Daphnia pulex: one gene and its partner. The protein of the gene in region 1 purifies or fractionates together with the protein of each later gene. This does not show direct contact. Links are inferred from orthologs where the notes say so. Each region holds a gene or a part of one and is shown on either strand. Other genes may lie near its edges.

Region 1 (3,742 bases):
AGGCTAAAGGATCATTTTGGATTGTCGAACTTCGAAGTTGTTGGTAGAAAATTCTGGAACTCGACCAAAAAAAAACAAAAAAAAAAAAACACAACGATTCGTTACCGATCCTTTTCAATTGGGTCGATTAAATCACCGCTTATCGCTGATAGATCAACGGAGCGAAAAACTGATGCGCTCTGTCCAAGCCTGGAATTCAATATCGTTATAAAGACACGACGAGTGAAACGTTTTTTTTTTTTTTTTTTTTTTTACCTTTTAATCGACGAAAGATTGACGTTATCAATAACTTCGAAATGAACTGGCAAACTTTAGTTGGTGTAATGCTGTACTTAAGCTGTACTGTAAGAGAATAACGTTCTATCCGAATTAAAACCAAGAACATTTCACCTAAATTACAGTGCAACCTGAAAAATATTGGAAATTCACATCTCTGTTGTGATAGAAACAAATTTCTTTTGTGCTTTCATTCGTTTGTAAACCCGAAGTAAATGTCAGAAAAAGGCAAACTATTCTTTGATGAATGAAAACAATCTTTTAAAGATCGCTGTAAAATACCAAGCACACCATCAGGTTATATAATGCGTGTTACAAGTTACAAAAAATTTAATTTCTAATACGGTGGATTGATTTTAATTATTTATCTGCTATTTTGATAAAGATGGCATCAACAGAACAGATTTGTATTTTTTTTATAGAACAACTTGGAAAAGGAGAAAAATAATGATAAGGATGATTCAACGACCGGAATTTATTGTGGTTGAAATAGTTTAGATCCTTATTTCAGAAGAGACCATTTTAGCTGCTCCTTTGCCGATTGAAGCACCTAAAAAATCAGACGGAAATAATTAAAGAATTTATTGATCTTCTCCCTTAATTATAGTAATTTTTAAAATGTATATTGTTTAGTTTAGAAGTAGCTGCTGGAAAATGAAAATTTCAAACTAATTTCAATTTTAAATTTAATTAAATTGAAAAAAACCTTATTTAAATATCTGATTAAGTAGTTAAGTTATCAAACATACCTGGGCCACTGTCTGCTCCCCAATTGGAATGTCATCATTCCGAAGAGCTACTCTGTATGATATAGCAGTGGGATCTGATTCCAGAATAATCCTGCAACACAATAGTAAACTGGTAATAGTATCTTGATAAACTTGTCATGATTACATGTTTGAATGGAAACCATACCCAGAATCACATATTTCATCCAAAGCAAGCATAACCACATCAAGATTTTCCATTAGAGAACGCTTTTCCACATTCTTTCTAAGTATTTGGCTGATGGAATCATACAAGCAGTTTAAAACACTAACCAAGATCAACTAAATAAGGGGAAAAAAATTCCAATTTACTAATATTTTGTGAACAACTTGTGAGCATCTTTTACCTCATTTTCATGGCTACTTCCCATGACATAAAAATAAAGATCCACATTGCTTTTGTAGACACAAGTCATGTTTTCTAGCATAATGATTTCCGTGTTAGCTCGGTGTGTTTTGTTGAATAGGTTTTTTTCAAAAACCTTCTGTTCTTTTGCAGTGGGTAATGTGTTTGGGTCATAGTACTTTGCAAGAATACGTTTACCATCATTGTCAAGGATTGCAATTCCTTTAATTACATACAGAGAAGGTTCCTAAAGAAATTTTATAAAAATGTATCATTTTGTTGTTGGTCTGACACAGCTGATTAAAGAAAATGTAGTACTAGAAGTAGCTATATTACCAGGACATGGTTATCCATTTCTTTATACAATATGCAATACACCACAACACAAGAGCTAAGAGAAATAAGATGAACCGTTGTACAGACGGGTGAATGAAAATGTTCCGTTCGAGATGTTGATGAGTTGTTCTTACTTGACAACCGGTAGTCCTGTATGCTACGTTGGCAGTTTCTTTCGCGTAGTATCGCCATGGAGTACTTCAACTAGAGTACGATTCTTATGTCGGTAAGAAAATTATATTAACCATTAAAAAAATTAACTTATAAATTTTATAAATTTCCTATACTGATCACAAACCATTAACGAGATAAATCTATTTTTGTTTTAAAAGATACGGGAAAAAGCAAAAGGGCCAGTCGTTAGCGCCATCTAGGAACTGCTTGTTGAGTATAAAAGATAAACAAACTGGACAGTGCGGCAACGCAGGATAGCCAGGAAAGAAGAGAGGGGGAGAAGGACCTACCCAGACAAAGGAATAAGAGAGGGGGACTCAGTGCTGTTGACGATTGTGGCTAGGCGAGTAGCAATACAAAGCGTTCTTTGCAGCAAACAGGTTCACGTGTTAATTTCTATATCAACAGGTTATGGGCCCAGCTGTACGCACAGCTAACAGCTACTCTGTCTGAACAATTATTTTTTTTGTGTGTGTCCCCGGCTAACTGTTCCCAAGAAATTAGAAATTCTTTTCTGGAGTGATGGAGAAAGATGGCCGCCGCCATGTTGTATGGTGTCTGAATGGGAAAAACTACGCGTCTTGGAAATTTGGAATGAAGCTGGCGTTACAAAGTGTTGAGCTTTGGGAAGTCGTGAACGGGACTCAACGGCAACCTGCTGAAGTAAGTTTATTGATGATTTATTGTTTTCTTTATGTGTGTGATCCGTGCCTGACAACAACGCGATATGAGATGCCTATCTGTGGCGTGGTACCAACTATTAAATTGACAAACTTAGATCCCGGCGTGAGTGCTTAATCTCTGCCACTTGATTTTGTTTTTTGTGTGTTTGTGTTTGCTGGACATTTCTCTTTTTTTGTGTTTCTTTCTCAATCTGTTTGGTCACTCTGGCTAAATTCCATCATATGATGGTGGACAAGTGTGTGCTAGAGTTGCAAGCATCTAGGAGACAGCTGAGTGTTTTTCCACATCGAGATGATGTGAGGGAGATTCCACATTGAGATAATGTGAGAGGTATTCCACATCGAGATGATGTGAGGGAGATTCCACATTGAGATAATGTGAGAGGTATTCCACATCGAGATGATGTGAGGGAGATTCCACATTGAGATAATGTGAGGCTGCCATGGATATCACAAACCTAACCATCTTCTCGTTTTGTTACCACAATCAGAGACGCAATGCTGACCAGGTGATTGAAAATGCAGCTGATATAACCAACTGGAACAAGAGAAATACCACGGCAATGCAGAACATATTTGGCGCCATCAAAGAAGACCAATCAAGGATCCTGATGTCTTGTAGCACAGCCCAAGAGATGTGGATGAAATTGGAGACTGAGTATGAAGAAGATGCCGCAGACAATGCACCTCTATTGTGGACAAAGTTCTATGGATGCACATTTCGACCAAGCCAAAGTGTATCAAGCTTCCTGACTGAGTTGGAACAGATAGCATTCCGTCTGAAGAGCCTCAACATAGCTATTGATGATAATCAAATAATGGCAAAGATACTCATGTCGCTTCCTCCAGAGTTCCGTGTTTTTGCCTTTGCATGGGACAGCACGCCTGTTGCAGAGAAAACTCTCAAGAAACTGACTACTCGCCTTATAGCATTGGACAAGAGCCTGCGCAACGACGAAGAAGCAAAATCGACATCTGATACTGCCTATCTCAGTAAGCCGAACAGAGATGAATCACAGCACAAAGAGCAAGCACTTCCTGCCCAGTACGGTCAGAACAAAGGAAAAAGCCACCCTTCCAGTCAACATGCTGGTATACCGAGAACATGCTGGGAGTGCAACTCCACTACGCATGTTAGAGCTCAATGCCGTCAATACAAA
Region 2 (4,440 bases), on another chromosome or scaffold:
CTACCAAAGCTTGCGACAAACTTGATTCAAATACGTCTTCGAGGCCACCAAGTTCATTGCGTGAAAGCAGTTGCTTGAAAGAGACCAAGTCGTCGGCTTGGATTGATCGGCTGTTCTTTTCTAAGTTCTTTTGGGCAGCAGCTTCTTCCTCAGCTTTGGCAGCTAACATAAGTGAAATGGATCTACGGCAGGCATCGGTAAATACTTCTACTAAAATCGGTGATCGATCCGAGAGCACCTATGTCGAAAAAGAAAATTGTAATGGGGGTTCACTCATTTTTTACCATTGATAACTTACCTTAAGGCAAAGCCCCAATCTTTCAGCATCGTCATTGCTAATTGGTTTCTGAGGCAGTCCCGAACGACCCAAATGAAGAATCGCTGCAATCACTAGCATGGCTTCGGCACAAAACTGGTTTTGCGTTTGCGGGTTCGACACTTGTTGAACAAAACGTAAGGCCAGCTTTGTCATAGTTGTAGCCATTGATGCACCAATGAAGAAATCGCCTTCCATCAGATATCTACAAAGAAATTTAATTATGAATGCAATGCTAAATGGAACGACATCAACAGAATTGACATACTTTCGAAGAGGAGGCCTTTCTTCTTTTTTGGCGGTTGTTACGGCAGCACTGAAGATAGACTGCGTAGCGTATGTACCATCTGCAGTTACCAAGCGGGCGCTAGAAGCAACAGGATTAGTAACGCTCCCAGTTCCCTGTGCTAAAGGATTTTCCGGATCGGTCTGCTCTCCTGCTGCTTTTCGGATTTCGTCATCCACGATTGGAATTTCGCCAAGCGATTGTCGCACTTTGGACATAACTGAACGAATGTCATCAGCCGAAGTGGCGTATTCGCCCAAGATCCAAATTGCTGCACGGTGCACCTTGACGGATCTTTGAAAAAAAAAAAAACATCTAATGTAGAATTGCTGCCAGTAAAAACGAAATGGAGTTATTTAAACTTACTTGATGGAAAGAAAGGCTTCTAAAAGTTTTTCGATGATTAATGGACGAAGTCCTTCGAACTTCTGAATCGCTTCGCGAACAAAGACCAAAACATCGGCGGCTGCTAGCTCGTTGGTGTCGGAAAGGAATTCAGTCAGTACAGGGATGACGGTCGCAGAAATGTCAGGAAACTTGATGCAACACGAGTGAAGAGTGCGCACCAAAAGTTGCCGATACTTTCCCGTATCTTCATGCTCGGTTGTGTTGTGCGTCTTTGTTACCTCCTACAAGATAATTCATCAATAGAAAATTATTCCTATCGATTTACCATTTCACCGGAATTCTTACCTTTTTCAAAACGAGCACGATATCTTCTATGTTTCGCGAAGACACTAAATCAAGTATAAGGGATAGTGTCTTCTTTCGTACTTCCAAATCTGGAGTAGCCAATACCCGCAAGATGTCCATCACCAATTCCTGAAATGAATTACATAATTAATATTTTGTAACATGTGAATGATTAAATTCAAGATACCTGCAAGACACGTTCTTGATTCGGCTGCTCTTTCAAGGCGATCAAACGATCCAGCACAATCAACTTCACATTATTGTCGCTTTCCTTTAAGATAATTTCGATGTAGCAACTAGCAGCAGCTGTTCAAGAAGAAGAGAAAACATATTAAGTTGGAAACCCAAATTAAATATTAGTGAATATGAATAATACCTTTAATAGCCGACGGTGCGGACGATAAGGTTACTAGAGTGCCAGCAGCTTCGTAGCGAACGGCCGGACTGGTGGCATTCAAGAGACTGTAGATACAACGAATGAAACGCGATCGCTCACTAGGATTGGCGTGACACACTTTGTAGATAAGTTCAACGATGACCAATTGCAGAATATCACCGAAGGAGTGAACCTAACAGATTTTGTTTTCCTTAAGTTTGTTTGGAAATTGGAAACCTTAAAATAGTTCTATTACTTGATCGATGCAAGAGGTAAGATAGGAGAGCGCCCTTTCTTGGTCAGCGTGAATCAACATCATGAATGCATTACGTTTACAGGACATGTCCTGTTCACGTTCTAGAAAATTGGCAATCAATTCTGGCCCGTCAGGAATGAGGAAATCAAAATTGCGGTAAATTGTGTAAATTGCCAAAACAGCATTGCGTCGAACGTAAGAATGTCGGTGCTCCAAACACGACCTGATCGATGGCATCAACGGTTCTAAGATTTCAGGTTCCTAAAAAGTAAATTACAAAAGATTAGCTTATCAATAAATTAAGGTATAAAAGAAATTGGCTTACCTTAAGCTTGCAAAGAAAACGTAATGTTGATCCTCTAATAAATTCATTTGGATGTTGCAAATCTCTCCTGTAAGCATCACAGACGAGAATCATTTCATGCAAGAGTTTTCCATCTGCTGAAGTCTTTGGAATGATTTCCCAGAATATCAACAGAAGTTTCTTGACATTATGATCCTGAAGTGGCAGCACAAATTTGACCACTGCCATGAGGATTCCTGGAATCTTTTCTCCATTTAAAATTATGTAAATGGCCTTTTTTAAAGCATCAATCTTGGCTTTGATATCTCCAATTTCCAACTCTTTTCGCAGCTGATCTGGAGGTGGATAGTCAGAATCTGGAGTACTGATGAGGGTATAACAAGGTTGCTCAGTCACAGACATCTGTAAAAACAAAACAATACATGAATCGTGAAAACTTGGACCGGTTTACGCTCGATGAAATGTTATTGTGACAGCGACCCGCAACCCATTCGAAATCTATAACGATGGTATTTGTTGAACACTGAATAACGATTCCAAAATGTCGGATGACTTGCCTTGATTTCTTTGTATTACAACGGCTTGTTGTGTTTTCTGTGTGAGCCGTAACTATATGAAACGAAGGAAATTCACGAAACCTTTGACGTTGCAGAATGTCAGAAAATACCCACGTCAGTCGGTAAGCGACAGATCTTAATTCGTAAAATTGACAACCACGCAGCCATGTTGCCATTATGAGTTTTAATTTTGACGTTGTTTTTTTGTTATTTTTATTCAAAATAGATATTCAGTCCCAGCTTGTGTTGGTTTCCAGATTTTCCAGGCATACTCTCTCTCTGTACCATCAAAACAAGAGTTTTTGTGGGTTTCCCGGATAAACAATGTGTCAACTGCCTAGTCATCGTCACCCATGTTTCTCTGAACCACTGTGAACTTCTTCGACACGTTTGAAGCAGGTTTGAAGACCAGCACCAGTCACGTCTCCATCTTCGGCAATGGTCAGTTTGTTTTCAATGTGTAAAGGTATTTTGATGGGAGTTAGTTAGAATTTTTCGTCCATTTAATCGGCAAAGCCTTTAAGAGACGATACAATTTGTTCTTAGTTATTTGATAATAGAAATGTTCGTTCGAAATAGAATGTGCAGATGGCCACAATCTCCATACCTTCACTGCTTCACAATATGCAGATTGCATATTAATCGTCTTGCCATTAATCACAGAAAATTAGAATTGGAAACGATTAGCATCCGAAGGTACTGGCCGTTATATCTCTATTTCGTAGTTACCAGCTTTAATACGTTTAATATGGTCGTTACTTCGTTGGTTCGCTCGGCTCACTGTAGCCTATAGCTAATCGATATTAAATATTTATGTTTTATGTTATTAGCATCAAATGTAATTATGTTTGTTCAGGATACTTTTCATTTATTATTTATTTTCATCGTTTTAAACTAACTGAGGCATTGAGCAAAAGGAATCATGGAAATTTCCGCGACTATCATTGTTGCGTCTACGATGATCTTTCCTTAAAATTTGTTTTTTTTGTGTTGGTAGGCCTTCCATCTAAAAAAAGTTCAAGTATTCAAGTAAAATATCTTTAAATTTTTAAAAAACGTTTTATAATGCAAACATGTTATATTTTCAACGTAAAAGAAATTATCTTATATTTAAAAAAAGCGTGTGGGTAGAATGAGGCCATCCTCACGATAGATAAACATCACGCTTTCCCGTAAGAGGGAAACTAGGGTCTTCTTCTTTTGACGCCACCGGCAATCGGAAAGACATTTGATTTTTTCCTCACAGGCACCACAGAGCATGATGTTACAGCTAGCTATAAAGAAAGACAACTGCTGTTAGTGAACAGACGGCTCCAAGTCATCGGCCAGTATACAAGACTTTCTGATTTTCGAGTTCATTTTTAATTGGGGTGTCGTCATTCGCTGTTGAGAGTTCATCATGCGATTGTTCCTTCTATTTTTAGTTTTTTTGTTTGTATCGCCTGTTTTGTCACATTTCAGTGAAGGTAAGGAATTCACTGAAAAGTCCGTTAATGTCGTAATTTTACCCTTCAAATAACCTTACTCGGAAACTCTCACGCTAAGTTTTCTGATAACTGTTATTGTATTGCTATCGCTTCCAAGTGCCTTGCCCCTTACCATCAAAGGGCGTTAACTGAAAATAATTTCAGTTAAAAAACACTTTGGTTGAG

Evidence for each region.
Region 2: the proteins of coatomer subunit zeta-1-like (region 1) and coatomer subunit beta-like fractionate together in Homo sapiens (co-fractionation; 8 studies listed by BioGRID and IntAct, with this or other methods). This does not show direct contact. The link is inferred for Daphnia pulex from reciprocal best matches to the Homo sapiens genes COPZ1 and COPB1.

Annotation. Positions count from the first base shown.
Region 1 is NC_060024.1:1,294,581-1,298,322, forward strand, and holds coatomer subunit zeta-1-like, read right to left. Parts: upstream 2,108-3,742; 5' UTR 1,918-2,107; coding exon 1,726-1,917; intron 1,637-1,725; coding exon 1,391-1,636; intron 1,326-1,390; coding exon 1,192-1,325; intron 1,117-1,191; coding exon 1,026-1,116; intron 827-1,025; coding exon 779-826; 3' UTR 670-778; downstream 1-669. UniProt on the Homo sapiens protein: The coatomer is a cytosolic protein complex that binds to dilysine motifs and reversibly associates with Golgi non-clathrin-coated vesicles, which further mediate biosynthetic protein transport from the ER, via the Golgi up to the trans Golgi network.
Region 2 is NC_060020.1:2,118,498-2,122,937, forward strand, and holds the start of coatomer subunit beta-like, read right to left. Parts: upstream 2,941-4,440; 5' UTR 2,789-2,940; intron 2,634-2,788; coding exon 2,253-2,633; intron 2,189-2,252; coding exon 1,928-2,188; intron 1,865-1,927; coding exon 1,672-1,864; intron 1,602-1,671; coding exon 1,483-1,601; intron 1,425-1,482; coding exon 1,296-1,424; intron 1,232-1,295; coding exon 969-1,231; intron 897-968; coding exon 585-896; intron 522-584; coding exon 299-521; intron 239-298; coding exon 1-238. Other genes in the region: uncharacterized protein LOC124192347, read left to right, coding at 4,188-4,254. UniProt on the Homo sapiens protein: The coatomer is a cytosolic protein complex that binds to dilysine motifs and reversibly associates with Golgi non-clathrin-coated vesicles, which further mediate biosynthetic protein transport from the ER, via the Golgi up to the trans Golgi network.